3 linked regions of the Struthio camelus genome follow. The main gene of each other region encodes a partner of the protein of the gene in region 3 in a complex. Links are inferred from orthologs where the notes say so. Each region holds a gene or a part of one and is shown on either strand. Other genes may lie near its edges. The genes, in order: LAMP1, AP3D1 and AP3M1.

Region 1 (10,020 bases), on a different chromosome or scaffold from region 3:
AGCCTGCAAATTCTGTCTAGCCAGAAACTACAAACCACTAAAGGTTAACGCAGGAAAACTAAACGTATCAAAGGAGCAGTTAGACAAGTACCCCCACCGTACAGAGCTGGACCACATTTGAAACTGCACATTCTAGCATCAGGGCGCTACGAACGCTCTTACACGTGTAATCAAAGTAGCAGAAGTAGCGCTAACAGCCAGCAGTGCTGTCAAGTGACATAGAAGGCTAAGAAACAGTTACCCTTAACCTGAAAAGCAACAGCGGTTTGTCTTCAAGTCAGATAACACAACAAAGTAAACAGCTGAATGAGTCTACTGCCAAGTTTAATAGAATAAACAGCAAGAAATCAATGACAGCGCTAATCTTTCCCAAAGAATTTCCAAATAATCCTGTCTGACCCAAGAGGGGAAAGGCTAAACTACTGCAGTTAAGCGGAAACAAGAGGTGGAAGGTGTGCCTTTTAAGAATTAGAAATAAGTTTCACGGGTTTCTCAATGAAATACCCATCTTCTCCTTTCAGCAAGGCTCCCCCTCAACCCTAGAGTAAATTCTTCTACTTATCACCTACAACCGATTAGAAATCGTCCCATTCACCACAGAACAATCTAGAAATATGCTTCAGCAAAAATGAAGCTTGTAAATCAGTCCAAACAGGAACGCAGGGAGCATATCTCAACATCAGCATGTCAGGGAGCCTAAGGAGTTCTTACTCTGCAAGTAAGAAGCTGCTTTAGAAGTCAAAAAAGCTGCACAAGTCAAAGCTGAGTAGCTTATCACAGGATAACAGACTCAGAACTACAGTAGAAACGTTGAGACTCTGAACACACTCAAAGACACTATCAAGCAAAAACAATGTTCAGGGCAGCAGAAAGTAGCATTTGATAAAAGAATTTTTCAAGCATCGTGTAACGTACAAGCAGTTACACATCTATGAAAACGGCTCTATATCCTGTCTCAGATAGCTCCCTATAACTAGCATTCCCAATGTTAAGGAAAACATAAAACAATTATTCACGGGCTAGAATTTATTATTAAAGTTTCCCCTCAACTATCCCGGTAAGTTACTGATTTTGAGAACCATTTGTGCCTGTTATCAGGACTGCTCTAATCAGCACATCCAATGCAAGTACTGACTAGGGTTTGAAAGTCCTCTTCAGACCAGAGTTGTGCAACAGAAACACCTGGGTCGTGCGTCAACAACCCTGAAACAGCATCATGCTACCTTCTCAAACTCATTCTCCTCTCCCCAAGTCTCAGACACTTCATTTGTGCTTGACTCTAAACTCGGGTTTTTGGAAATGTTTTCTTTGACATATTTGTGTTTCAGCAGGGAAAACACACTATATTCAGGTGCAATCACACCCAAAGAGCGCAAGCAACTCTGCTGCGTTTGGCACACAAGGCAACTGACACTTCTAGTGCTCAACGGCAGAGTATGATCTTCCTTCGTATTTCAAAAGCAACAGCTAAGTCTGTGGGAAAAGTACTTCATCTCCCACTGCCCCTATTGCCAGTATTTATCACTGTATTACTTAAAATATTTGTATGAGCATTTGAAATTTGTGAGGAAATTCAGCAGGAAATACTTAACGCAGACACACAAAATACTCATCTCAGTGGCTTGCTGCTCACTGTGAATGAAAAACTGAAAGAGTAAGTAGGGCGTGGTGAACTATTCATGAAAAAAAAATCAGGCGCATATCAACGCATTGTCCCAAATTCAAAGCACTGCCAAACAATGCTTCCACATTTGACCCACCCAGTCAAATCCTAATGCTAATCCTTAAGTCTCCTGTGATCTTTGAATTATCATGATCAGCGCTCGCTCAAATGACTGCAGGGCTGCAACTGAACCGCAAATGAGCTGTAAAAACGTCCAAAGAATTCACCTCATATAAGGCCATTTTTCTCTCCCCCCAATCACCCCACATTATGGCACAAGATGGTGGAGGCTATCTATCCTCCATGGATAGGAGGAGATCTATCCTCCAGCGTCCGTTTGCACCAAATATTTCAAAATTATAGGACGAAGTTATGTAGAAAGATTAAGCTACACAACAAGACAGGTACAAGATCCTAATTGTTAGCAAATATATCTACTTTGTAATAAAACGCTCAGCACCATCAGAAGCCATACACTTTACAGGCCAGAAAGTGACAAAGCTAAATGCACAAGAATACGTTTGCAACTGCTGGGTAAGCAGAGGAAGACTACTACTGTCCCAAAAAGCACTACCTGTGGTACCACTGTAAAACTATGCAGCTTGCACTCAGAGTGCAAACAAGCAATTTTTAAGTCTTAGCTACATTATACAAGCCATATAAGGCGCTCCCAGTGTAACACCAGTTCAATGCCACTTAAATTACAGACTCCAACCCTAACAAGCAAGCTTGCTAACACTGTTAGTCACCACGCTAGCTAGATGAACGCGGAGCGAAGCCGGCAGCAGATGTGCGCGCTGCTCAGCGCCTCTCGTAATTTACAGCTTTCAAGGTTAGTAAGACGAGAGAAACCGAAGCGCCGTCACCAAAGATAAACAAACATATTTACTAGCCAAGAAATCTTAAGAGAGACGCGAAGGCTGCCATAAGCTCCAAAATCAGGGCAGACAATCCGTCTCCGCGGCTGCTTCATGCGGGGAAGCACTTGGCTAGCTTCTGAACGAGCCCCCTTGGCTGCCAAAGGCTCGTTTCAGAAGCGGGGCAGCGTCGCGCGAGGTGGCTTTCCGCGCGAGAAACCTACAGCAAGGCACTTATCAGCAAACGCGCAAGACACGCTTCCTCAAAAAAAAAAAAAACAAAAACAAAACACCCCAAACCAACGGTCCTGTCGCACTAACACCCTTCTCTCTCACCAGGGCAGCAGAGCGCAGATGTCACACGCAGGTTTTTTCACGCCAGAGGGGGAGGAAAGCCGCTGCCAAGGGGGGGGGGGGGCGCGGGGGGGCACCGCAAGCAACTGCGGAACACGCGCGCTCCCTCCGCGCCGCGCCGCCAGTCACCCCCCGCCCGCCCGGGCGCGGAGCGAAGCAGGACCAGGCCGCGGAGCACCCGCAGCTCCTCCGCGCCAGCCCCGAGCCGCGGGGGGCTGCCGGGCCCCCGCGGAGGCACGGCCGGCGCCGACCCGCTGCCCTCCGCGCCCCACTCGCGCGGCCTCCCGGCCCTCCGCGCTGGCGGATGGCCCCATCGCCGCCCCCCCCGCGCCGAGGCCGGAGCCGCCGCCGCCGCCGCGCACTGGCAGCGGCAGCCGGGCGGGCGGTGCCCGGTAAACCGGCGCGGCGCAACCTCTCCCTCCCCCCCCCCTCCGCGGCGGACCCACCTTACCGAGCAGGGCGGCCGCCGCGAGCAGCCCCCGCGCCCGAGCCATGGCGGGGGCGGAGGGTGGGGTGGGGAGGGGGGGGGACGAGGCGGCACCGGCGAGAGCGCGGAGACGGCGCGAAAGGCTGCAGCGGCGGCGGCAGCGGCGGCCCGGCTGGTCATATGACCTCTGACGTCACCGCCTCGCCCGGGCGCTGGCACGTGACCCGCCCGCGGAGCGAAGCGGAGACCCCGGCGTTTGGGGGAGGCAGCGAGGGGAAATCTCGCGAGAGCGGGGGGGGGAGGGGGGTTACGCGCCCTCCAACGGTCCCTCGCTCGCTCCCTCCCTCCCTGCCTGAGGCGGCGGGCGGTGGCAGTGACTGGGTGTTTACGCACACGCAAAATAATACCTATATAAACACAGTTGAGGGGGGGTGTATATGTGTAAGCACGTGGGGCAGTATGTATACCTAGATATATGCGCGCAAGCATATGTATATAATGCATGTGCTGAGTACGGTATATGCAGTGCGTATATCCATGTACAAACGAGCGTGTGAGGCATACAGTGTGTGTAGTATATGCACAGCACGTGCGTGGCTGCGCTGTGGTAACGCCGCACGTTACGCGTGCAGGTGGGGTTTGCGTAGGGCTCTGAGCTATACGTAGCCGTGTCCGCGGAGGCTGGTGCGCAGTTAACCGCGGGCGGTTGCACGTATAGGTGGTGCGAGCAGCTATACCATACCCATCACGCGGTTCAACCCCGCGTGCAACCCCAGCGGTGGCCCCAGGCTGCTCAGGGCCTTCCTGGTGCCCGTGCCTCACGCTGCCAGCCCCGGCGCCGGCCACCCGCCCGCAGCCCGGACGTGCGGAGATGGGCACTTGGTGGCTTGGGGACTTTCTGCAGACTGTCTCATCTCGGCTACTTTTGCCTGGTAAAAACTGATAAATGAGAACTGTGAAGAACCATCGAGGCCCAGGTTCACCCTAGCTAATTTTAGGCATTAGAATTTAGGCATTTTAGTTCCCAAGAGGGGAACGCAGTCAGTCCAGGCGTCCCTGGGTTAAAGGGGGAAGAGGGTGCTAGAGGAGGGTGAGCGGCACCTTTGGTTACAAATTAAACCCACCTAAATTCTGAATTTCTTCCAGAATACCTTTCTCGCCATGGAGTATAAAGACTGTCTAAGGTGAGTATAGTCATCTTGCCCAGGCTAAAACCAGTCCTAGCTGTATCAAATCACCAGAGGTTGAATAGTCTCAGTTACCTCTGAATTGATGCTTCTATGTATACCTGTGCGTATATATAATCCATGTATCTGTTTCAAGCTAGAAGAGGGATCACTAATGAGTTGTGGTCATACGTGTAAAATTGGGGCTGCATGGGCAAAAAGGTGTATGGGTAAAGCTATATAAAACAGCTTCTGATGTTGTTTGATATTTTTATATACAAGAATTTTAAGAAACCACTTTTTTTTGAGAAAACTAGAAAAGGTGAAGTTTGTCAGTATCAAAACTGTCAGCTGTTAACACAGAAAAGGAGATACAGAGCCCAGGACATTCGATCCTTTCTAATTCAATTCTCTTTCTTGCCTGAGCTGTTAAGGATATACTTTCTCACAGAAAGCATGTACTTCAGAAGTATTTACTTTACTACCAAAATCCTATTTTTAGTACTGTAAGAAAGCGTGCCAGTAATAGGGTGTTTCTGCTTACTCATACTGACTCCCATATCATCCCTCTGCTCATTACAATGTACTCTAGACCAGTCAACTCTGAGACCGAATCCTTTATCCTCCTGAGCTGCCTTTCTACATTTTTACTTAGAACCAAATTGAAATGCAGTTCAGCTATTATTACCAGCAGCTAAAAGTCAATTATAAGTGTTGTAAACTTGATGACCTTCTGCTGTTTGGCTCAGCTCACTTATGTTTCCTATTTCCCCAAAACACCGTAGAGAAGATTATTAGCTCTTCAGCGTGGCTTGTGGATGTGCCTGTTTTTTTTTTTTTTTTTTTTAAACACTGTTACAATAAACAAGACATGTCTTAATACTGCATTTTTGGAGACAGAAATGTTTTCTTGTTGTATCCTTACTTTTTTCTACAGTACATTTATTCTCACCCTGCATTACCAAAAGCAGAAGTTACTCAGCTTTAAAAAGGATGTAATCATCAGCTCCATCAAGTGTTTGAATGAGTCATCTGCAGAGGAGTTGAGGTTAATGGAGGTGGGACAGCGGTTGTTCTAGGTTTTCGATCACTGTTTTTGAGGCCTGCACCGGGAGCAGGGGGAGGTCTGTGGGCTACTTGAAGTCTGCAAAAAAAGCGAAACAGAGAGGGAGCTCCCCTGTCAGGTTTGAACTTGCTATGCGGTGGTCTGCACCTCTACTAAAAAACTGGTAGGAGTCTGTAATTTGGAAAACGTTGATTTTTGGATTAGGACCAGTTAAAAATCAATCTGTAAGTTGCATAAAGCAACAGCACTGTAGCATGAAATTGGTAAGTAAAGAACATTTGGTCATGAGCAGAGAATGATGCTGATCTTATATGCTGTGAATAATTAGCTTACTAAGCCTTTTATAGCAGTGTAGAGACTCCACAGTAATCAATCTCTATGTCACTGTCAGTAAAAGCATCAATGTAGTGATTGTTAGCCTGTTTTCCTAATGAACCGAGTCTTGTGCAACCAGTTTGGCCATTAGCCTCACTGCTCAATAACTTGGCTAAAATCAATCAAACTTGATAGCAAAAAATTTAAAAATTACTACCATAAAAACTGGTATAAAGACAGAGCACAAAGATCCAAGTTAGTGCTGCCATGAAGCAAAAGGTAGTCTGTACCTAGCCCTTGCATGTTTTCTTTTACAGAGTTGCTGGCTAATCAACACTGACAGAGTTCCAGATTAACTCTGGTACATCTCTGACACTGAAGAGCCATGGATGCATAATGGCTGCATATGGGGAAGAGCATGGGAAATACCTGTGAGATATAGGAGACCAGTTACACAGCACACACTCTTAAGGCAGAATACCACTACGTAAGACAGCATCGAGGTTGAGAATTTTTACCAGGGAAAAATTTCACTGAAACATGACTCCATTTTTTCTTTAGCCTTTTGCTGCCTGTTACCTGACTTCACAGGGTTATTTTCTGTCTAGAGACTTGCGAGGAACAGATAACCAACATTATAGTAGAGTCCACTCCCCCAACACAACTGTCAAAGCTCATAAACGTACAGATAAGTCTAAATGCACAACAATTGACGCACTAAAAAAATTGCCTGAATGGTATGTAATTTTTTTTTCAAATGTGTAGCACAAAAAAAGAAAGACTCTGAAGAATACACAAAGAGTTTGAAGCAGGGCAAATGAGTTAGATCATAAAGCCAGGTCCAAATAAAGGACTTGCAGTGGGAGCTAAAATACAAAACTAGGAAAAGCAAGACACAAGCAGTGGGCAGGAAGGAGGCTTTTTGTGGTTGGTTCTTTTTGTCCTTCCATACAAGTTGCTACACAGTCTGTTCCAAAGGTGTTGTGTTGCCAGGGACTTCTCAAGACTTCTCTTTCTACTGAACATGGATGCGCTGCAGAGGAAATCTGTTCCTTTGCCACACCCTGATATCTTCAACATTAGGTGATCTTCCAGCAAGAAAATTTGAGACACCTCTGCCCTGTGGGCACAATACACCCAAGGATGTGGTGAACCACCAAATAGCCAGCATCAGACTAACAACTGGCTGGGACAGGATGCTCAGCCGGATTCTATCACTAGCTTTAAAAAAAGCAATCAAATGCAGCTATTTTACTATGAAATAGCGATTACCGGGCTGACTGATAAACTAAATAGTGATCTTTTACTTCTAAACTGCTTACCTATTTGTTTAGCACATGCAACATCCTAGGAGGAGGAATATGAGAAAACCAGATTAAACATGAGGGCCTGAGAAAGAGAGTCACGCGTGATGACACAGCCCATCAGTCTCTCGTGGCTCCTGAACCTCTAAGGCCGCTGTCAGAACAATTTCAGAACAGAGAGGCCGAACTAATGAGAGAAACACAACAGTGCTTCTTGAGGTTATTGTGGTTGGGGGGCTGGGAGCAAGAGAGGGGGAATACAGCATAGGACAACAGACATATACATCATACAAATGCAAGCTTAATTATTTCCACTGCTCATGTAACAACTTATTTTTAATTGGTATACCAGACAGAGTAATTCAGCCAAGAAGTTCTACTCTACGGCAATTAAGAAAAATTGCCTATCTCAGCATTTTTAATTAGTCAATCAACATCGCTTCATAAGGCAGAACCATTTAAATCATCTCCCGAATAACACCACTGCTTTTAACATAATTGTTTAAAACCCCCGAATGAGGAAGTTTGGGTTCAGAAAGGGAAGAGAGTACACATTCACTTCTTGATATATACCACCAAATTGTGTTGTCCATTACTGCCAACTTTCTGGGTGGATAAAGCCTCTGCCCATTTTACTTCTGTGAGGCATATATGTCTTTTTGTTTCAAAAGTCTAGTAAGATGGAGCTGATTAGCTTTCATCTGCAGTGAAAGTAAGTTACAAGGCAAGTGTTATAATTAACACTAAACAACAAACTGCGTAAGTACACTTAAGTGCTACATTCTCACAAAGGCTAAGGAATTAATGTTTAATATGCATCAAAGTTTTTATTTGAATTAACTGAAGATTCAAATATTAAAATAAGTCTACATTAAATTACAATATTAAATATGTTTTAAATACAATAAACTAAACACATGTTTAGTTTCTAAACAAAGGGAATAAAAATAGTTCAAAAGAATGCAATACAATTAATGACATCAGATGACAAAACAAGGACTTTAATATGTAAACTCATGAGATGTCAACTTTTAGCAATGCTTACTTTAAGAAGAGATGGTGGCCTTTTAATTGATGCACAAAACCATATTACATAAACTTAGTAAGTTGTCTCTCAAGAAAATATTGCTCAGTTAAATTCTCATTATACCATGATCAAAACCCCTTCCTTTGGTAGCTCTTTATCAGAATGAAACACACTATTATGCAAATCCTGAAAATAAGCAGCAGCTTGTAAGTATTACCACAAAAGTATCTTCCTTATAATTACAGTTATCTAACAGATCTACAATGTCTTCCATTCTTTAATTCAAATCAACTTACATATATACAATATGTAACAAAGTACTCACAAAAGCCTTAGTCATTCAAGACAAGAACTATGCTTTCATAACATCAAGACTGTAAAAGTCTTTTTTTTTTTTTAATTTTTTTCCTTTTATTTATTCTGTTTAAGTGGAGCACACTGTACAGTAGTTTCCCTGTATGTGACTTTAAAGGCAAAAACTAAATTTACGGCAATTACATGAACAGAGATAAAAACCAGTTGCCCTAAAATGAGGTAGGGCCTCTTTGACTCAAATCTTAATTGCCACCCAAACCAGCAAAAGTAGTAATAAAATAATAATCCACAAATGAGTATCTTGGCTAAATAATAAGACATCTCACTACACACATCAACACAGTTGTCCTCTTGGCACTTCAAGGATCTCACTTCAAAATCTGATTTATCCAAACCAGACTGAAGTTTATAATCATTTGAAAGAAAATTAAATGAATACGAGATTAAAAGTATTCATGGTGCATAATTTCAAAAATTTCAGTGTATTTCAACAACACTGCTTGTACATAAGTGTTCATCAATTTAGGGTTTTTATAAAGTTACCCAAGTTGTCTCTGTAGCTAAAGAATGCAGCATATTATAGGGTCTCCATGGATGCACAGTCAGGAACACACACATGAATAAACCAGACTTGCATCTATCATAGAAGTATTTCTTACACAGGTAATTTTACCTTTCCATTCAATTTCAATGACATTGTTAAACAAAACTGTAGAAACAGATTTTCAAGAACCCCAAAGAACAAAAGAAATAACTAAAAGAAATAAAAATGTGACATTTAAAATTACTGTGGAGTCTTGACAAGGATGATCCAATGAACGTGTCGTTTTGCTTCTCTTCCATAGCAGTGCATGCAGCTGGTTGAATAATATATATCAACCTGAAATCTGCTAATAGTAAAGTCTGGGACAGCATAGGTATTCAGCATCCTGAAGATATATGTGGATGTTTTGTTTTGTTTTAATAAAAGGACTTCCTCTCGGTTATGCAACATAGTGATACTGATTGGGGTTGTCTTTGTCTCTCTCCATATAGTCTCTGTCAATGAGAGATTCAATCCTCTTCTTCAAGTCTCCAGGCTACAATAAAAGATCAGAGTAGTAAAACAATTAACAATATAAATGCAAGTATAAGTTTGGATATTTTGTGTAAAAGACTAGTAAAAACTACATAAGAAAATACACCATATTAAAAAAAAATCTGCAAGTTCCTGATAAGAAGCCACTGTCAACTCTAGCTCATTTTTGTTAATGCACTCATTTTAATATCTGCATCTTTGCATTTGTTTCAGATGTTATACTTTACATTTCTTACTCTCATGGAACTAAATGGAAGAGAATACCGCATATTTTTAGATAGTTCTAGGATGGTTTGAAAAAACAAAATCAGTTACCTTTACTGGAAATTTCAGCTGATTATACAATTCAGAAACAAGGAGATTATGCCCAAGAGTCTTTCTCATCTTCATTATTCGTACAATAGCAGCATCAATCTGATATTGTCTATCTTGAAATACTCTTTCAGTT
Region 2 (9,577 bases), on a different chromosome or scaffold from region 3:
ATCAAGTTGTGAGAAGCATACAGACATTTTGTACTGGAATTTTTTTGAATATTACCCTCCTCCTTTTAAGTATCCTCCAAAAAAAATCAAAGGCACTTGAAACACAGGTCTGAGCAGGACAAAGCACCACTCATTTAACATCTCTATTACTTCACCACCTCAGTTTTGTAAAGGTGCCTCAACAGCACTTTTCTTGTTGGGTATAATAAGCTTGTGAAATGCAAATACAAAATACTCTGCAAGAGCCAAACAGTGTCAATAACAGCATTATCTCTCCATATATTTCAAGTTCAGGAGAACATCCCAAACTACAAATCACTTTGCAGTTTGGAGTATCCAGCAGAAAGATCCATTATACTCTTAACATCACATGGTACAAACCACTCCTCCCCTTACCCAGATGGGCATCCAAAAACTAGGCAGAACTGGGAGAATATATTCCACAGGGTACAAAAGCACCTAGTAACAGATGAAAGACTCATTGCTTTCACTACTAAAAGGATTAATTCTCCAGATGAATGAGAGATTAGAAAAAAAGGTCAAAGGAGAATGGATCAAAATATCTCAAGTCTTTCTTGTAAGTTTGGCTTTCCCCGGAATTTTGAACTGGCACCAGGAAACACCACAGGGATTAAAACATCTGCATAGAGTGCTGAAAATTAAGAAAAGACCTAATGCTATTGTGCTACCTCATTCCTCTTCCAGCAGTGTTTACTTCACAGGAGGACGACGCAGCTCCAAATTTCCCTGGGAGATCGGAGAACAGAATAGGTCCGCACTGAAAAGTGACTAGGTTAACTCAGGTGTTACCTCTTGTCTCCCTCTCATCCTTACAGCACACCAGTACTTCAGTTTCAGTGTTTTAAACTCAAAATAAATGGGTCAGCTTTGGATACAGATCAGGAACTAAAGTGAAAGTTGCTTTCTGACAGGTAATTAAGCACTTTGCAGCAAGGATGTTAGCTGAAGTGCCAGTAGCCCTCCAGTATCCCCAATTCCTCTAGTGAGCTGAGGAGGACACTCTTAAAATTGGTAGTCTCAGCAACACAAGATGAATACGTCATCATCAAACAAGAATGTAGTAGGTTATTGGAAAGCTGTATTTGAGAAACACACACGTAAACCTAGGTGACAACCATTTGGCATATCCTTCACTACAAATACATCCTTGATGCATCAGTGGAACAAAGCCACTAGTTTAATGAAATACCAGATACAATAGCTTGTGATAGCACCTATAGAGGAATTGGGAACTGTCAGAGTTAAGAACTGGAAAGGAATAAATCTTACTATCTCCTGTCTACCAGGAGAGACTGCTAGATAGATGAGGGGAAAAAAAAATGATGGAGGAATTTCCACATGCTGATTTTAAATTCCAGAGGGCAAGAACCAATGTACATAACAGAAATTAGCATTCTGTAAAAAGCATAACTAAATCAAAATAAAAGGGTCAAAATAATACTCATACTCTCATTTCTTTCCTTTTTCTTTAACAGCCACAATACCTTATCTCCAGACACATTTCTTTCACAGAGTAATTCTTACTGAGACCCAGCAGTTAATATCCTCGCCACCAAAGCACGTTGCAGATCGTTCTCAACACATTTGCTCTTCTGAACTGGCCAAAATGTGCATCTTGAGCTTAGACACTTAACTTGAGACACATAGAAGCCAGCCAAAAAAATGCACTCTGTATTTGAGCAACACTTAGTAGATACAATGAACAATGGAAGCAGTGTAGGAGAAGAAGGAAGAATTTTTGCAGCTACTTCCTCTAAAATACTATCCTGATTTTGCAACATCACCTGAAAACTAGAAATAGTGTTCATGACCATTCACTGAGAAGCACTAAATCAATGTAATCAGTATCTTAATAACAGGTTTACAGTCCTCTTCCGCTAAGTGAAGTAGAAAAAGGAACAGTCCTGCACTGTTTGCAGTCACTTCAAATAATTAAGCAAAATCTTTGAAGGAATCCAAAAAAGATTGTGCTACAGAAGACACAAATATTTTCAGTGCCAGTTCAACTGATCAGCTGAACACGAACAGAAGTTTGGTTCTTAATTTTTGTTGTGCACATGAGGTTCTAAAGAAGTATTGCTAATTAATTTTCTATTTTAAAGTGTCAAGACTTAAATTTCAAACCAAAGGGCTACCATCACTTAAAACGCTATCACCTTACCCTTCAACTACTGCAACTGACAACATCAGCCTCTGACTTGCAGAAAGGGGAAAGTAACACATTTGCTTTGACCTTAGCAAAGGCTAGAGTGTGCACATCTGTCTAGTGACTTCCTTCAAACATACACAGCCCTTTGTGTAGGTTTGTGTGTATTTTTCCAACACTGTGAAAAAAATTATCTGTCAAATATTTTTCTTAACCGCAAACAAAGGAAATTAAAGCTAACACATTTTAACTGAGTTTTGTCACAGGCTAAGAACAAACACCCAGTACAGCTCATGATGCACAGTAATTTGGTAAGCCTGATGGTGCTTAACAGCACTTGTGCTCTTTACCTTCTGTCCTATGCGCACAAGAAATAAGATATATTTACTAAAAGCAGCATATCATACAAACTGGGCCTAAACACGCTATGGAAAAGCACCCCACAGAATTGTTTATTGTTTCGCTGTTCCAGCTCCGAGTATAACAAAAACAGCTTAGAACTACAACAGCACAAGTTAAACACAGTAAGCGTCCACATAAACATTCTTAGGTATCACCTCACACAGCTTAACAAATGCTGTTTCCATTCCTCCATACAGTTTCCCATTTTTTGCAGGGTGCTGCATACTTCACAGCAGTACTGTCTTCCTGTGCCACCAAATCTACACCCAGTCACACAATCAAATGAAAAAAATTAAACAGTTTCCCAGGTATTATCACTAGCAAATAACACCTTGTAGTGTGCACAATGGTCTGCTTAAAAGTCATTTGAAAAACCAAGTGCTTTTTGGAAGGTATGTTACATTTCAGTCCAACAGCGCCAGTAATGAAGAATATAATAAGAGTTAGGATAACTGTTAAATATTTAGGATAACCGGTTAGAATAACTAAAAGATAACTGTTAGACAATTCATAAGCGCTTCTTAAGGCCATGACCACTTACTTGTAGATGAACATAAACGATCTCCTTAGTGTCCGTTACTTCCAAATTAATATGTGACGCTTTAAATTCAACATGGAAAGTCTCATATAACATGTTCTTGATGACTAACTATTTGACCTCTGCTAATTTCCTGGTAATGTGGCTCTAATACAAAACGAGCAATAGGCCAACATGTCCAACTATTTCCAACCTACATAAGCTTACAAATGTGGAAAGTGTTTCAGTTAGAAGGTATAGAATAAGAATAATTTCAAAGCTGAGTTGTGTCTGAATTCAGCTTTTTGTAGAGTTGATTACTGTAGTGCAGGAAGGTAGGAATTCCTTTATTAGATGTATCAGTGAGCTCAGCATCACAGTAATATATTAAATAGGAAAATAAACACTGAAGTGTCACTCTCCCTTATCCTCTTTTTCAACTCATTGCTCCCTCACTGCCTTCTCGTCCTCCCACAAGCTTCCCTTTTTGGCTTTACAGCCTACACCCCAGTCTCAGCTTTCTCGTTTTGATTCCTGCTTGCACCTTCCTCAAAACAACATCCCCTTTCCGGAGAGGGGGAGCCACCCGGCTTGTTCTGGGCCTAACCAAGCCTCCGCGGCACGGAGCGGGGCCGAGGCACCCTCCATCACCCCTGAGCCCCCCGGACAGGCAGAACCTGACGGGAGGGCTGGCAGGGGACGGGGGCGACAGCCGAACCCCGCGGAGGGAGGAGGCCGGCTGGCCCCGGGGGCAGGCCCCAGGCCGGCGGAAAGGGGCGCCAGCCCCTGTCGAGGGCGAGCAGAGCCGCGGCCGCCGCGGGGAGCGGGAGGCCCGCAGCCCCTCGGGCCGCTCACCTCGTCCTCCTTGTGGTTGCGGATGCCGCGCACCAGGTCCTGCAGGTTCTTGTCAAACATGCGGTCGATGCTGCCCTTCACCATCTTCAGCGCCATGGCGGCGGGGCCGCACCGGGCCGCGGGGCCTACGATCGGGGCTGAGGGGCCGGGCCCAGCCGGGGGCGCCGCCGCGGCTCCTGCTACCGCTAGAACCGGGTGAGACCAGCGGGCCTGGGCCGCTCACATCCCGGGCGGGGAGGCGTGGGCGGTGCTCGCCCCCAGCACGGCGCGGAGCAAGGCGGCGCGGCTACAGGCGGGCGGCGGCGGCCCCGTTGGCCGCAAGCCCCAGCTCCGGGCTCCGCTCGGCCTCCAAGTGCCTGACAAAATGGCGGCCGGTCAGCTGAGGGCTCGGCCCCGCCCCCGCCCGCCCCGGCTTGGCCCCGCCCCCGGCCCCGCCCCAAGCGTGGCCACCCGCCTCGCCGCGCGCTAGCCACACCCGCGCCGCGCTACGCCCCGCCCCCTTACGTCGGCCCCGCCCACACCCCGCCTGCCCGCGGCCCTCCGGCGAAAGCCGCGTCACCGCTACCGCTAACCACGCCGAGCAAGCCCCGCCCCGCGTGGCCCCGCCCCCCACGCCGCGCGGGGCGGGCCGGGAGGACCCACGTGGCGGGGCGAGTCCGGGCGCGGCTGGGCAGCGGCTCCGTGGTGCCGGCTCATGCGGAGCCCCGGCGGCTCACACAGGGCAGTTAACTCCGTGCGGCTGCTGCCCCTGCAGGCAGGGCCGCAGGAAGCGGCTACCCGGTGTCTTGCCTTTCCTCCCTTCTCCGTGCGTTTTTGAACGCTGCACAACTGATAAATGCAGATTTTGGAAGCGTCGCTTATGAGTTCAGTTCCGAATGCAGCCCACAGGCACCAGGTGTCACCACCAAGGGCATCACACATGACCCTCGATAACTACCTGTAGTCACTTATCACTCATGCCAACTTTAGCACCCTAAGAAATATAATAGTCCATTTCGCCAGGTGAAAAATCCCTGTGTGGTCAAAGTGCGCTCCTCTGGGTGAAGGATGAAGAGCCAGGGGACCTGGGAGCCTCACGGGTGGCACAGGGCACATGTGCAGCCGCTGGCACCCGGCTGGCGGCAGTTCAGCCAGACACACCGAGCACACACCCAGGACAGTGAGGGTTTGTTGTGGGTTACACAAATGCCAAATACCCAATCTCAGACACCGAAGACCTTTCCCGATGGGACAAGCTTTCCTGCTGCCAGCCAGGGACACAGCCAGCCATCTACCGGCATGACAAATACCTGCATCATCCATGTATGCGTGTCTGCCTGGAGGATGATGTTTCTTACTGCAGGTGGGTGGTGCTCTGGATAAGGAGAGGAAAAAGAAAACGTAGAAAGGCCATTCTTCTCCCTCAGCTTTGCCTTCAAAAAGGGATTCTGGCAAAGAGATAAATAAACAGAAAGGGGCTTGTAACAAAAAGAATTGGCCTTGCAAAGATCTGCTTGTCCTTTTGTGCTTCTTTATGGCAGGCGAAGGAAAACAATTTCTGTTTGCTTAAAATGTTTTTCCTCCTTGTTCTCTATCTTCAACTTTTGACCTACAGCTTGTTTTTGTTGGACCTTCACAGTAGAAGGGAGCTCATGGGCTTGTTTTCACTTTATTCAGAAATGGCCACATATCTCAGCTTCTACCCATTATGTTTCCCTTTTCAAGGGAAAAAAAGTCAACCAGCCAAGACTCAGGGTCCCTCACATGACATGGCAGGTTGAGAAGGTGCTGCCCTGCCCACCGCCACCTGTCCTTTCCCCTGCCACCACCTCTCTGTCTCCACAGTTGTGCCAATGCTGCTCTCTGTGGGGCTATACCATAAACCTTGAAAAAAGCACTATTTTTAATTCGGATCATTTCAGAGGCTCAGTCAGAGCCTGGACCCCGCACGCAGTCACACTGTCATAACCGTGAGACAGGGCCAGGAATGAAAGCTCAGGCTGGGAGATGTGACAGCGCAGCAATAGGCACTTCTGCAAACTTCACCATTGAGATTAATGAATTAGGCAACTCTACCTTCAAAGTTGGTCCTCTGGGAAAAAGGAGAGCTGTATTCCTCATATGTCCAGTGCTGAGCGGGGATTGGTTGGGGGTTTCCCTTTCATTTGTTTGTTTTCTAGGAAAAAAAGGAAGCAAAGGGGACAAAACCGCTACTTATTCCTGCAGCGACCACATTTAAACATCATTCCTTCTGAAGGATTGACCAAAATACACATTGGTGCTCAGTTATACATCTGCAGCTTTAACACCACCAAAACCAGGGTGCTGGGGACTAAGAGAGAGTCTGGTGGAGGTGAATTTCAACCCAGAATTCAATCCCCCCCAAACTGAGATTGCAAGGATTTTTGTTCCTGGTATGGATGTTCATAGATGGTCCAAGCTGGTTCAGTCTCCTTTTTTAAGGCACTTTCCTTCCTCCAAACTATGGAGAGCATGAAATTCCCTTGTAGTCATCCTCAACTAAAACCATGGCTCTAACCCTAATCATTGCCCTTGATAATATCTAAAGACCTTAGAAACTCCAAGCCTCTTGTCTCCATAAGGCAATTGCAGCTCTGATTTCTTTTTAATAAATAACGCCACCTTCTGTTTTCACTGCTGTAATTTCACAACAGGCTTTCTCTGGGAAGAAACCTTCCCATGAGCAGCTGTAGCTGCTTCTACTGCGCTCTCAGCCTATTTGCAATTCAGTAGCAAGCAATGCAACATCGCTGAGTAAATCCTGCACTTTCAACACTATGGAAAAGCTTTAGCTAAGGGCACATGAAACCTAGTAGCTGTTAGTGGGGGGAAACACAAGCTTGACCATTACGTTTCTGACAGAGATGGACCTAAACTGCTAAGTTCAGGCCCTGACCCTATTTTTCCCCTAGAAGGGGCTATTAGGCAACATTTCCGTGAAATTTTTTCTCTGTCTTGCACAGCTTCCCTCTTCCCTGGCAGAGGGAAGAGCTGCTCCATGCATTTTGCTGTCCAGACTTTCATTGAAACTAACTGATACGGGATGACTTTGGTATTCATTATGTTAATTGATACCTTTGTGTAAACTGAGCTCAGGAGAAGGAACATGAAAGCAGCACTATTAAAATGTGAAGGTCAAAAATATGATTTTCTACAAAAGCTGCATTCAGGCTCCGGTCCAGCAAACCACTTAAGCACATGAAATTACTTAAACTCCATAGGCAAACCCACCATAGACAATAGGGATATTCTCTTGCTTAAAGTTATGTTCCTGCTGAAGCACTGCGCTAAATCACGGCCTGACCTCCTTTGATGTGCCCTATGGGAAAATGTCCACAGCATGGCTCATTCCTAAAAGCCTGTTTCTGGATAGCCGGTTCCTCGCAGCTGGATAGTGGTTTGACGTAAGAAAGAATGGGACCAACCATCTTTGAGGACATGATGCTGAACCAAACAGGTCTTGATCTGCTCTGTCTCCAGCCTCTCGGTGCCAGGCCCCTTTGGCTCCACTAATCTGCTGTGCTCCGTGAAAGCACTCCTAAATCTTAAAGCTCCTAATCTGTGCCAGAAACACCACCTACACCTGCCGCATCCGTGGTCTCTTCTCCTGAGCAGGCACCCAGCAAACGTGCGGTGAACATGGTCTCTTCCCTTGCTTCCGAAGGAGATGTTTCTATTTACACAAACTATTTTTGTGCAGTTATACTAGGTATCTAACGAAGGGAATGCGCTTTAGCGGTTTGAGCACAGTTGGCACTTTTGGGTAGTAGGCCCTGCTTTGTCACTCCCGCTCTGCATCACATCAATGCTCTGTCACTATTTGTTCAGACAGAAGTAGGTCGCTCCATAAAGCTGACAGTAAATGTGCAGAACGTGTACTTAACCAGAAGGGTGGGCAGGCACACAATGACGTTGGAGCCGTGTTATTTTGAGGTGGCCAGACTCGCACCAACGCAATGGAGATCTGAATTCGAGCCACTCGCTAACCAGTATGGAACAGGATATCCAAACTTGTTTCAGAACAGCTCATTCCTCATGATGACCTAATTCTACAGTGCTTTCATGGTAGACAAGTTTTTAATGTGTGCATCACCACAAGGCGGATATGTTGGGTAGGGAAGGGATGGTGACAAGGAAGTTTAATACAAGGCACGTGCCTCATCGGCAGTTTGGTGCAGAGTGTATCTATTCCCATCTTCTGCATCTGTGCGTCCTTGCCTGAGCCTTTTTCCTGCTGGACGTTTGCCGAAAGGACTCAGGAAACACAGGAAGTTCCATCTAAACCTGCGGAAAAACTTCTTTCCTGTGAGGGTGACAGAGCATTGGAACAGGTTGCCCAGAGAGGTAGTGGAGTCTCCTTCGCTGGAGATATTCAAAACCCGTCTGGATGTGATCCTGGGCAATCTGCTCTAGAGGACCCTGCTTGAGCAGGGAGGTTGGACTAGCTGATCTCCAGAGGTCCCTTCCAACCTCAACCATTCTGTGATTCTGTGATTCTGTGACTCAAAGTGTTGTGCTTGGCAGGGCTCAGGCTTGAGGGAAGGAAGCTGGTGGAGAGGGGGAGGTGTGAGATAGCCGTCGAGACAGGCCCTAAAATGATGGAGGCTGCCGGGGGTGTGGGTGAGGCTCTGCCTGGGGCTGCTGGGTGCAAGATTCGTCATGGCTGACGCAGAGGAGTCCCGCAACACAGGGCAGCCCGTGCGCGGCCAGCTTCTTCCAGACAATCCCTTTTCCGCCGCGCAGAGCCTGGCCAGGGAGCGGGGAGCGGCTCTGTTCTCAGTCGCTCCCGCCTCCTTCGCGCTTGGCATCTCTTCACCTGAATGTCTCTGACGGAAATGAAGAGGGAGGAAAAAGGACAAGCCACCGAGCTCGCTCCCGCTCAGCCCACGTAACGCGTTTATGGTGCGCCTACACGGCATCCCCTGTGCCTGGGCAAATCCGCCGGGGCCTGGCGGTGCCCGAGCCGAGCCAGGCTGCGCGGGGACGCGCGAGCCCAGCGTCGTCTCGCTCTCACCGCTCCGATTCGCCAGCCCTCTTTCCTCCACGTTCTCCGATGCTCCGGACAGTCCGGGTCTGCTCCGGACTGTCCCCCTCCGCTCTAGGCTGGCCCTGTTCGGATTGATGGTGCTCGCCAGTGGCTCCGGGCAGGATGTGGCGACGAGGACAAGGACAAGATGGCGCGGGGCAAGGGCTGGGCAGGCCCCGGGGGCCGCCGCAGGAGGGGTTTGCCCAGCAACGAGCCCCGGGGCAGGAGCCCGAGCCAGGGGTGGCCCTGGGCGCGGCCTCCCCCCTCACTGCAAATGCCACCACCTTGCGCCTCTCCCTTTCGGGCTTCTCCCGCCCCTCGTTTGGGCCCGGCGAGCCATGACCAAAGCCAGCCCGAACGCTGCTTCCCGCCCCCGCCCCGGGCAGTGCCCTCGGGCACGTCCGCCTTGGCGCCGCGGCCGCCCTCAAGATGGCGCCGCCGGCCCGGGCAGCGGCGGGCGAGAGGGCGGGAAGGCGCGCGGCGGCGGCGGCCCCGGCTGAGGGGAGAGGCCGCTCCCGGGCCGCGGGGACGGGGCGCGGCGCCGGCGGCGCGCGGGAAGGGGCGGCGGGAGGGGCAGGGCCGAGCCGGGGGCCGCGGCGGGCGAGGCGGG
Region 3 (10,115 bases):
TTGGGTGCCTTATAAATTACTATTTTTGATTTAGTAGGTTGTTACGAGAGCACGTCACAGTGGCTTTCCATTCCATTGTAAACATCCGTTATGTTTTTAATTCAATACTTCAGTAATGTTTTCTGAAATTTTTGAATTTTTATGTCTGGGCTTCAGGTAGGTAAAATGCAGTTTCCTCTGTTAAACTGTACAAACAGAAAGCAATTCCCAGTTTCTCATCCTGTGTTGGCAACAGTTGTTGCTTTTTAATTACAATTTTACATTGCTGCATGCTATTTATTTACTTTTAGAGCTCAGTTACGTTTTTTCTCCTCTGCCACTGTCTGCAACCAAGCTTCTCAACTATTACTAGACTTGAAAAGTCACTCAGTTGCCAGAAGAACAAGCACCCCGACTTTGACATATTTAATAGGATTAGTTCTTTCAGCAAGGGCCATCAGCACAGAAAGGGACTGTTCTCAGCTCTGTACATCTCTTTTACCCTGTATTTGAATAAGTTATTAGTTACCACCAGGGTTATTTTTGGCATTTCAAGCCTTATGTCATTAATCCCCTTCATATACTGAATACTTGGAAGCAGATCAGACACCATACAATTACATTCATTTCTAAATAATCCCGAGGAAACAACCCCAAAACTGCACCAACAAAAGGTCCGCTGATAATCTCTCAGCGTTCATTTTGACCATGCTTCCTGCACTGAGTAACCTCGTATTTTTTCTGCTCTGACATTTAAAAAAAAAGAAGAAGAAAAGAAAAAAGGGAGAGTTGTGTCTGTGCAAACCATCCGTCAGAAGCCGGGCTTCAGTCAGCGCAGTTCCGCAGCCGCGCTCGGGCGGTAAATCAGGAAGTACGGCAAACGGCACTGCGCTCCCGCTCCTGCTTAATTTAATCTCAGCACCGTTGAGAGTATGTCACATGTCCTGAAGACGACATGCACACATGCTAACAAGAATTTTTAGATCCCTTTAAAATCCTGCCTAAACGAGAGCAAGCAGAGACCCCTGAATGGTACGGATCACGACTTCCTGCAGACAAAATTTAAAAAAAAAAAAAAAAAGAGGAGGAGAAGGGACACGCGAAGGTAACGAGCTGCATCTCCCGGGCAAGCAACCGGGAGCAGTAACCGAAGGCGCCATTCAGCGTTATCACACGATAGGCAGCAAGGGCGCAGGAAGCCCCTTGAACTCCTGAGGGTCTAACCAGGAAAACCTGCGGCACAACCGCCCCGACCACCCGGCCCGGCCGCCGCCGCCGGGGGCCGCGCTTCCTCCCGCCGCCGCGGGCAGAGCCCGGCGGGACCCGCCGCAGCGGGGCGGCCGGGGGGGGGGGGAGGAGCGCGGACCCGGCGGCGCCCGCACGTGCTTCAGCCGCCGCCAGGGCGGCACCGGCAGCGGCGCCGCGCGGCCCTCGGCGCCCTCCCCTCTGCGCCCAGCCGGGCCCCCGGCCGCCGCCCGCCCGTTACCTAAGTTGGTTTTGCTCCAGCTTGAGCTTCTTGGCTTGCGGCTCCCCCGCTGCCATCTTCGCGCTGGGCGGCGTGCGGCGCGTTCGCTTCGGCCCTCCCGCCCGGCGCCGCCGCCCCGCCCCGGCGCGGCCGCCGCCGCCGGGGGCGGAGGCGATGGCGCGAGGCGGCCGCGCCGGGCGCCTGACGGGAGCCCCGGCGCCGCCCGCTCCCCCCCGCGCCGCTCAGCGCAGCGCCCCGACCCGCGCCACCAGCCCGCGCGGCTTTAACCGCCTGCCGGCGCCGCCCGGGCCCTGCCCGCCGCGCGGCTGCGGAGGGCGCCGGCCGGCGGTGCGCGGCCGCGGGGACCCCCGGAGGGGCAGCAGGGGGGGATCCGCCGAGCCGGCCGCCGCCGCCTCTGTTATTGGTCGCTCGGTGCAGGCAGCGCCCCGGCCGCCCGCGCCTCCGCCGGGGGGCGGCCCCGCGCCGCGCCGGGCCTCGCCGCCATCTTGGCCGCTGCGGCCGGGAGCGGGACGGGCCGCGCCGGGGGAGGTACGTGCGGCCGGGGCCGGGGCCGGGGCGGGCGGGAGCTCCGCGCCTCACGGCGAGCCGCGGGGCGGCGGGAGCCGGGGTGGCCTTGGCCTCCCCGTCAGGTGCGGTGAGGGGCGGCTGCCAGGCAGCGCCAGGGCTTTTGCTTCCCCGTTGCGTTGGCATCGGGTGTTCAGCGGCCGCCCAGACGCCGCGTTGTTCCTGCGCTTTAACAAAAGGTCCCCGCAGCCGCCTGCCGTCTCGTGCGGGAGCGGAGCGGTGTGTTTTGGGCATGAGCAAAGGCTCAGCTGGGGCCCTGGGGAGCTGTGGGCGCCCGGGGGAGCGGGCCAGGCCGGGCTCGCCCCGGTCCCGGTCCCGGCGCCGGTGCCGGCAGCGGGCAGGGCGGAGGGAGCAGGTGCACGGGGACGGCGGCCTCGGCCAGGCCGCTTGGTCTTTAGTCCGTGCCGGAACAAACCGGTCACGGGATAAGTTTCCGAGGCTTAATGTGGGCAAGGGAAGGCCGTGACAGCGAGCCTATGTAGTTTTCTTTTTAAGAAGCGCCTAAACTCGCCGAGTATTTTGTAGCTCGCTCTGTGCACGTGTCCAACTGAAACAGTTTATGTAGATGGTCCTCTGAAACGAGAAGTGCTAATGAGAAGGAGGATTATGCACAGGGAGGTCTTAATTTCCTTTTTACAGGAGAAGGGGACAGATCAAATACTCCACGCGGGCAAGAGCTTTACCTCAGCAGTTACCCTTCTGTAAAGTTAGCTGTGGCTCCCCTGGAGAGTAAGTTAGCGGATGTGTTCCCACCCCCAGATTTGTTACCTTAGTGCCTTTCTTGTGTCTGTACAACTCCTTGGCTTTCTCCGAATCCGCTTTAAAAAGACGAAAACAGTACATTGTTGTTAATACTTTTTCCCCGAACATTAGTTTATGCTTGGAAATATAAATGAGTTAGTCGCAGTGCAACTGAGGTAGTAGAGAGCAGCTGCTAGAGACCAGGAGATCTCAGCCAAGCTGGGGTGCTCCCTACGGCAAGCCCTGGCCGGTGCGCAGGAGATGCATGCGTTGCCCTTGGGGCTGACTGGTTTGAGCAGACTACTGACTGCCCTCTACTCCCTCCCTCCTTCCTTCCCCTACGCGTCCGAGTTTCTCAGGCTCTGGGTCTGTTCTGGTACGGGGCCTGCTTAAGCAGATCCTCCCAGGAGAAAGGAGGCAGGACCTGCTGTTCAAGGCTCTATGAGAAATTTGCAGCAAAGAGACATGGGGGCAGGTGGGCTGCAGGAGGGGTAGCACCCAGCTCACCAAATCTTACTCTAGCATCATTGCTGCAGACCCAGTGGATCTGCTCGTGCTATGCCTGCTTAATTAGCCAGGGTCCTTGTGAGTATACATTTCTGTGCTGTATGCTAGAAATCACTCCATTATCATCCTTCCTTGTGTACTCCACATCACTTCTGCCCTGTTCAGTTTGTAACAGGGTAATTGGAGGTTGCAGCTTCTTTTGTTTTGTTTCAGGGGTGCTAATGTGTTTTGAAGTAACAATGCACTTACCGTCTTTTCAGTATGCTGAATGGTTTGTACCCAATGTAGGGGGATCTAACAGAAATAAGCGGTTCACCATGAAGTGTAGCGGTTGTATAAACGACCAAGCCAAAAAATCATAACAAATAATGAACGTTCATGTTCATAGAAGGCAGACTGCATTATGGGTGAGGAAAAGCTATTTTGCAAGAAAAGCACAAGCAAATCAAATTACTCATGCAAGAGGTATGATGATGGAAGCAGTGTTTTACAAAGGGACTGACAACATCAGCCATGAGAAAGGTTCAGCCAGCTGTTGCTAGGAGGTTTGAATTGTACATAGCCTCTCTTTTATTATAAAAGAAAAAAAAATGAATGGTATTCCATTCTAATGGTCAAGAATTTAATCTGTGATATGTTGGTTGCTAACTCAAAGCACAAACAAATCTGGTTTTGGAAAAAATGGAATAAGTAGATTGCTTCCAGTCCCTGTGCACTTGCCTGAAAATTCCTCACAGAGGGCAAATTAAATATTAAGATCCTTGCACACTCTCTAGTGCTTAATTTTGCTGTCCTTGCCCAAAAATGAAGTTTTCTGTTGTGCAAAATAACTATGACACATTTAAATCCCGCTTACTCCTTCAGACAAAACTCCCTTTACAAGCAGTTCTGCTTTAGGCAATCTTAAATTCTCATGATAAGATTTCTATTTCTGAAGAAGAAGTTGAAGTCCTTGAGGTAGAGAAGCATGAACAGCAGGTGACAAGTGGCAGCTGTACTTCATAGCTGTAATGACAGGAAGAAACCTGATTAAACCTGTTTAAAATGTAGAATTTCTTCCTCTTATTCTCCTGTTGTTTTCACTCATTTTATTTCCTACATTGCTTTCAAAACTTAAGTAATACACAGAAAACAAGTGAAATCCTTTTAATGTTTATTCAACAAACATGCATCAAAGGCTGCTTTTTAAAGGGAACTGCGCGGAACTCTTTAACATTCACTATTATGGAGCTTGATTTTATTCATTCAGATGGTAAAATCAAGGAGTGCAGCTCTGTGCTCTTGTCATGGAAGAGAAAGGAAGGAAAAAATGGTAGTTTGCCTTCTTTCTGCCATCTGGATTTTGAACTAGTTGTGGCATAGTGCACACACCTTAGTAAGAGCTGTCATTGACAGCAGGGTTCCAGTGATACTGGTTGTCTCTGGTGTAGTGTTTCAGTACTGCGTGGCCCTTTGGGCGTTGTGCATGTCCTTTCTTGAACCTAGAGTGCCTCTTAAAATAGAGCGTATGAAAAAAGAGCAGTATAAAGCTGGTGGCACTATCTCTCCAGCCTGTCACAGTTGCTGGAGCAGTGTATTGGGACAGCATGATGGAAAACATCTTCCCAAAGAGCTACTAGGGCAAGGCTTTTGTTTCCTGTGATCGAATATTGCTGCCCTGGCCAGTCACAGTTCTCTGGTTTGACTGGAATATGAGCCTAATTATCAGTCTGTTCCTGAAAATCCCTTTGACAGGAAATGTGACAAGACGTTGACCCTATCAATGTCAATTTAGTCCTCCCTATCTGTTTATTCAGTAGCATTTCCAGAGAATGAATTTCTTAAATGGTCCCTTAATAGTCCTAAATCAACTGATTTTGATGTAATTTGTGTTAGAGATGCTGTTCCATCTTCATGTAAAAAATGTAGTTTTAGCAATCAGTTTTTAGGGTTTTTTTTTTTTTTTTCTAAGCAACTCCGTTGGATTTTCAGCTTCTACAGTGAAGCTTTCAGTTCTTGCAGAACCCAAAGGGAATGCCAGTTATTCATTATCTAATACTGTTCAGTTGTTCTGGATCTAATATTTTGGTGTTGGCAAGAGATGGAACTATATGCAGTTGCCAGCAATTAAAGGATTTATGCTGAAACTAAATTGAACAAAGGCAGCATGCAAACATATTATTGGAAAGCCTGTCTCTCAGTAGATGGAATACTGCGCAAATTCTTAGGCAGACTGTGTTTGTTATTAGTAAAAAACATGGAGGTGGTTGGAAAGGTTGTTATGGATACTAAATACTGATTTAAGACAATTTCATAGTATTCTTAAAGGACTACTTCCTTTCAGAAAGAATTCCAGAAAGCTATTACCACTGTTTTAAATGACAGTGAAGATAGATAAATGTATACTGAGCAGCTGGGATGCAGACTGGTTAGTTTTTAACAGGGATGACCCTGCTGATAAAATATGCATCTAAGCAGTTACTGTACAGACACAAGCACTTGATGATCTTGGATTAGAATTGCTTTGATTCTGGGACTTCCACTTGAATAACAGGGAAGGACACCAAGCAGTTCAGACGAATGACTGCAAATATATTTCACCCTAATAGTATGGACACCTAAGCTGTGGTATCCTGTAAGTGAAAAGACTGATGATACTTGAGTAGCAGCAGTAACATATGCCAACAGTGAGAGGAGCCCTGCAAAAATGGTAGTTGCAGAACACTCACGTATTGATGAGATCTGAGACTTTCAGGTGCATCATCTTGAATCACGAATACTGAATCACAACTACTAATGCTGTATCCCGGTTAGTCCCAACTAGTTATATGTGTGTTCAGAGCTGAAACGCTGGCTGTCTTGTAAATGTCATTAAAGTAATCGATAGGATTTTTCTTCATTAGGTTTGCTGCTTTAAGAGCTGGTGAATGGGGTTGGGGAGGTGGGAAATGTAGGTTGTCTGGTTTTGTCATGTGTCAATCCTGAATTTATAAGAACAAGCTGAACTGCTGGCGTTCTGGTTGTGACAAAAATACTAGCTTCAAAATAGAAACAGACCTACCTATTTAGGTTTATTCATTTCTCTAGTTTACTTTAAGCATTAGATTGCTTTCCGTTCTGTTAAGGGCTTTTCACTACAACTTCATCTCCACAAATATATAACAGAGGCTCAGACAATCCACTCCCGCTAATCCTTCCACCATTCAGGGCAGCTGCACTAAATACCAGGAACACAGAAGCTCTGGAATACTTTGCAAGTGATGGTATGTTCAGACTTTTACTTGTTATAGTCCATCCCATACGGAGACAGTCTCAGTGATTATTACTAGCTGTAAAGGGCGTTGCAGAGGCCAGTGATTAATTCCTTACTTCCTGGTTTGCAGAGCTTTGACTGTAACTCAGCTCAGTGTTATGGAAAAGCAGCTGGCAAGAGTATCTCCGCATTAATTAAATTTTAGAGTACCTAATTGTAGCTGAGGACAAGCATATGCTGTCAGTGTTGTTCCCATGAACACAGCCTTTCCTTTCTACCAGTGAGCACTGCTTCATCTTGTGAACTTACTGTGACTTTAGTCCAGATGTTTCTCTGCCAAGAGACAGAGAAAAGAGTGAAATTGCAATATCCAAATTTAATCAAAAGAAAAGATAAAGAATTGGAATCAGCATACTGAAGACACCTTAGCTAAGAACTTGTAGTTCTTCTAATTCTGGTAGAACAGAAGCGACTAAAGAGAAGCCTGTGGAATTTCATATGTCAGAGCTCTTGGCAAGGATGGGAAATCTGTGAAAAGAAACTGCAGAACCTCTGCTGGGTTACGTGTGCTGCAGTGCTTTGTGAGATCACTCACAATCGAAGGCTGCTAGTCTGTTAAAAATGAGCATGAATGGCTTGCTCTGGGCTAAAGATGAAAGTAATAATCCATGCACATCTTTAGTCTGCTTTTTCGAATATGCCTAAAAGCAGAGATAGAGGAGATATGTCCTTTTGAAATATTCCTAGAAATACGCCTTTAGTGTTTTACATCTATTGCTTTTATGCTGCCATCTCAAAGTGGTCTCTGTGTACAGTACTGCAAAGGTTTGACAGTTCTTAAATTTTGGTCATGTGCTTTCACTACTGTTTTTTAAACTTAAGAAATTTGATTCGAGACCTTTACCTTCAAAGTGTCCCAGTTCTTAACCTGCTTTGCTATCTGGCCACTTGTGTCATTTATTTGACCTATTGGTATAAGGAATCGTACTGTTACTGGATTGATTTCTTGTCTTGCACTGTTTTTAATCTCCCCCCCCCTCCCCTCCCCCAAAGCTCTTGTGAGATAGAAGGAGAAGGTAGGGTAATGAGACATGAATTCAGGGATGTCTAAATGTCTTAATGAAGTCTGGCACTCAAAAAATAGATTAGCTGGGAAATCTTCTGTATTGGAAGTCCTGTAAGTAATTTTTGTTAAATACTAGCTTACATAAGATATCCATCATCAGTATCCATTTTAATTGGCTGATGCCAATTGTTTGGCAGTGTATGGGATAAATCAGATGACTTGGTCTTGCACCTAACAGATTGATCCTCCCACCGCTACTAGAGCTTCTCTGTTGTCACCAGCGGCAGAGAGAAGCGAACAAGCCGAGCTGCCCAGTTACCCGTAGGACCAGCCTTGTGCCGGTTGCTGTCAGAGTGTGCACTGCCTGCTCTGTGCTTGGTCTGTGCAGAGAGAGCTGCCATTTTTCCGGAGCACTTCAACTCACATTTCTTAGCAACGTGCTGCTGAAACTTGTGAAGGAGGAAAGGGGGAATGTGTGGGGTTTTGAAGGGAATTCTTGTGCTTGAAGTAAAGTAATAACGTATAATAGGAATTTGTGTAAAAATTGCAGAAGATGTGGTAGGCAGTCAGGTGGGTTTCTGCTGCTCAGCGTTCCACAGGTGCTGTAAAGCCGTGATCTGCCAAGTGTGGTCCTCCGGATCAGTTTGCTATTCCAGTTTACCACATGGCAGCCCAAACACTCGGATGAACACAACTAGCATCTGGGCTGCTTGGGGCAGGAACACAAATGAGTAGATAGAGGCAGTGGTCAAGTGCTGCTGCCCTTTCTGGCTGCCCAGGCCCTCCTCTTGCATATCAAGTCATGGTCTAATATTGTAAGTGGGATTTCTGGCAAAAAAAGTGGCTATGCTAACACAGTCATTTCATCTACCAGCAGAGCCAGCTGTGATCACTGCATAAGTAAATGACTGTAGTTCGTTAGCGATTATGGTGGCATGCTGGACTGCCGTATTTGTTCAAGTGTGTAGTAACAAATGCAATGGTTTCTGATCAATAGAATCTGTATGAGCTTTAACATCAGGACAACTGCTGGGGCCTAAAAGTAGCCTGTAACACTTCCAAGTATATTTGCCAGTGTATCATCCACAGCTGCCCCACAGTCCAGCCTTGTTCCCTCACCGCGGTCTATAGATCAAGTCTTCTGGAAATGGGAGTCTTATCAGTGCAGCCCGCACTAGCGCTGCTAATACTGACACTCTCCTATGCAGCTCTGTGTGCATTTACTGGGAACTGGGCTTTATCTTTAACAGATATGCTATTGTATCCATATTAAAATGTACAGAGAACTATTCTGAGCTTTATAGCTGATCACCTTCATATGTTTGGGCTGCCTTGGTGTGGAACAATACTGACATTCAGTGGTTGATTATACTTGCCACTGTTGTGTGACTATCCAGGAGATTTTGGAGGGGTTTAATGTTCAGCACTGGCTAAACTCGGAACACATTTGGTTAAACTGGATTAAAGCAATTGTGTTAAGGTCCCTTTATAAGAATGCTGTGCTCGCAGTATAAAAGTTGTCTGTCTTTTTTTAACAAAGATAGAGATGAATTTGATCCATGAAAGGTATAGTGGAAACTTGCAGTAGTACTAGTTTGTAGATTTGTTTCCTTTCCTACTCCTAAGCAAACTGACAGTTACAGTTTCCAAGTTAAACTCCTTTTATGCACCGTGTTGGCTTGATAGGATTTCTCCATCCATGTATTGACTGTTGCTCTTTGTACATCTACCAGCAAAGACTGTGCTCTTTACAGGAGGTATTTAAGAGATGGCAAGGACCCCCTGAAGGTGAGCATGTTTGTGTCCTGCACGTGAAGGAGCAGGTAGAGAGTAAAACTGGAAAAGCTGTATCTTGGCTCCCTCCCACCTCTGCAGTCTTACATGGAGGAAAATAGCATGCTGGCTGTCTTCCTTATTACTTATTTTTCATCTTCTCAGGTGAGCTTTGGAAGACCTGTTTTGGTACTGTCAATCTCTCTAGGCCCAAACCGTTTTTCAGTGTTGCAAGTGAGTTGGAAGGTCAACCTAGTACTCTGGACAGTTGAGCTCTAGACACAGCAGCAAGAGTCCGCTCTGGAGCTATGGGCTTTTCCCAGTGCTATGGCATGCAGTGTTCAGACTCCTTAAAAATCTCTGTGGGACTGGGCCATTTACATGTAGACGTTTCTGTGCTGTCTTCATGTTTCTGTGCCAGAGTTACATTAGCTAAGGAGCAAAGCTTATCTCCATTTTGTGGCATGATCCTGGCCACGCTTCCTGAGATGAATGAAAACTATGTTAGGTTTTTGGTAGATGTGTTTGGCTTCTCCTAGGCAGGAATTGGTGGTGGCCTTCCTGTCCCTGGTGCCAAAGGTGCTGACACGCAGTAACTGTTCTGTCTCTTTCCAGTCACAACTGAATTCCTCCAAAGGCTAGATGAACTTTCAGTAACTAGCATACGCTTAGTTCACGCTCTGGCAATGCAGTGACCTGGATCAGGAGGCTGATCTGACCAAAAACTCTTTTTTTCTGGGTCAGTTTATGGCTGAACCAGTTTCCTA

The links.
Region 1: the proteins of AP3M1 (region 3) and LAMP1 are in contact, whole or in part, in a cryo-EM structure (PDB 9C5A), measured with the Homo sapiens proteins. The link is inferred for Struthio camelus from reciprocal best matches to the Homo sapiens genes AP3M1 and LAMP1. Residues at the interface, in NP_001307192.1 of Homo sapiens: Glu178, Tyr180, Phe181, Asp182, Gln381, Val389, Asn390, Arg391, Leu392, Phe402, Lys403, Gly404, Val405, Lys406; in NP_005552.3 of Homo sapiens: Ser410, His411, Gly413, Tyr414, Gln415, Thr416, Ile417.
Region 2: the proteins of AP3M1 (region 3) and AP3D1 are in contact, whole or in part, in a cryo-EM structure (PDB 9C5C), measured with the Homo sapiens proteins. The link is inferred for Struthio camelus from reciprocal best matches to the Homo sapiens genes AP3M1 and AP3D1. Residues at the interface, in NP_001307192.1 of Homo sapiens: Ser25, Ser27, Asp30, Tyr31, Glu34, Pro52, Asp104; in NP_003929.4 of Homo sapiens: Lys29, Glu388, Gly389, Thr390, Thr391, Arg393, Glu429, Arg432.

Annotation. Positions count from the first base shown.
Region 1 is NC_090942.1:156,761,072-156,771,091, forward strand, and holds the start of LAMP1 (lysosome-associated membrane glycoprotein 1), read right to left. Parts: upstream 3,649-10,020; 5' UTR 3,369-3,648; coding exon 3,326-3,368; exon of another isoform or gene 3,321-3,325; intron 3,082-3,320; exon of another isoform or gene 2,857-3,081; intron 1-2,856. Other genes in the region: CUL4A (cullin-4A), read right to left, coding at 9,478-9,573, 9,888-10,020. UniProt on the Homo sapiens protein: Lysosomal membrane glycoprotein which plays an important role in lysosome biogenesis, lysosomal pH regulation, autophagy and cholesterol homeostasis.
Region 2 is NC_090967.1:3,339,051-3,348,627, forward strand, and holds the start of AP3D1 (AP-3 complex subunit delta-1), read right to left. Parts: upstream 4,343-9,577; 5' UTR 4,038-4,342; coding exon 3,942-4,037; intron 1-3,941. UniProt on the Homo sapiens protein: Part of the AP-3 complex, an adaptor-related complex which is not clathrin-associated. The complex is associated with the Golgi region as well as more peripheral structures.
Region 3 is NC_090948.1:25,427,233-25,437,347, reverse strand, and holds the start of AP3M1 (AP-3 complex subunit mu-1), read left to right. Parts: upstream 1-6,379; 5' UTR 6,380-6,516; coding exon 6,517-6,519; intron 6,520-10,115. Other genes in the region: ADK (adenosine kinase), read right to left, coding at 1,466-1,521. UniProt on the Homo sapiens protein: Part of the AP-3 complex, an adaptor-related complex which is not clathrin-associated. The complex is associated with the Golgi region as well as more peripheral structures.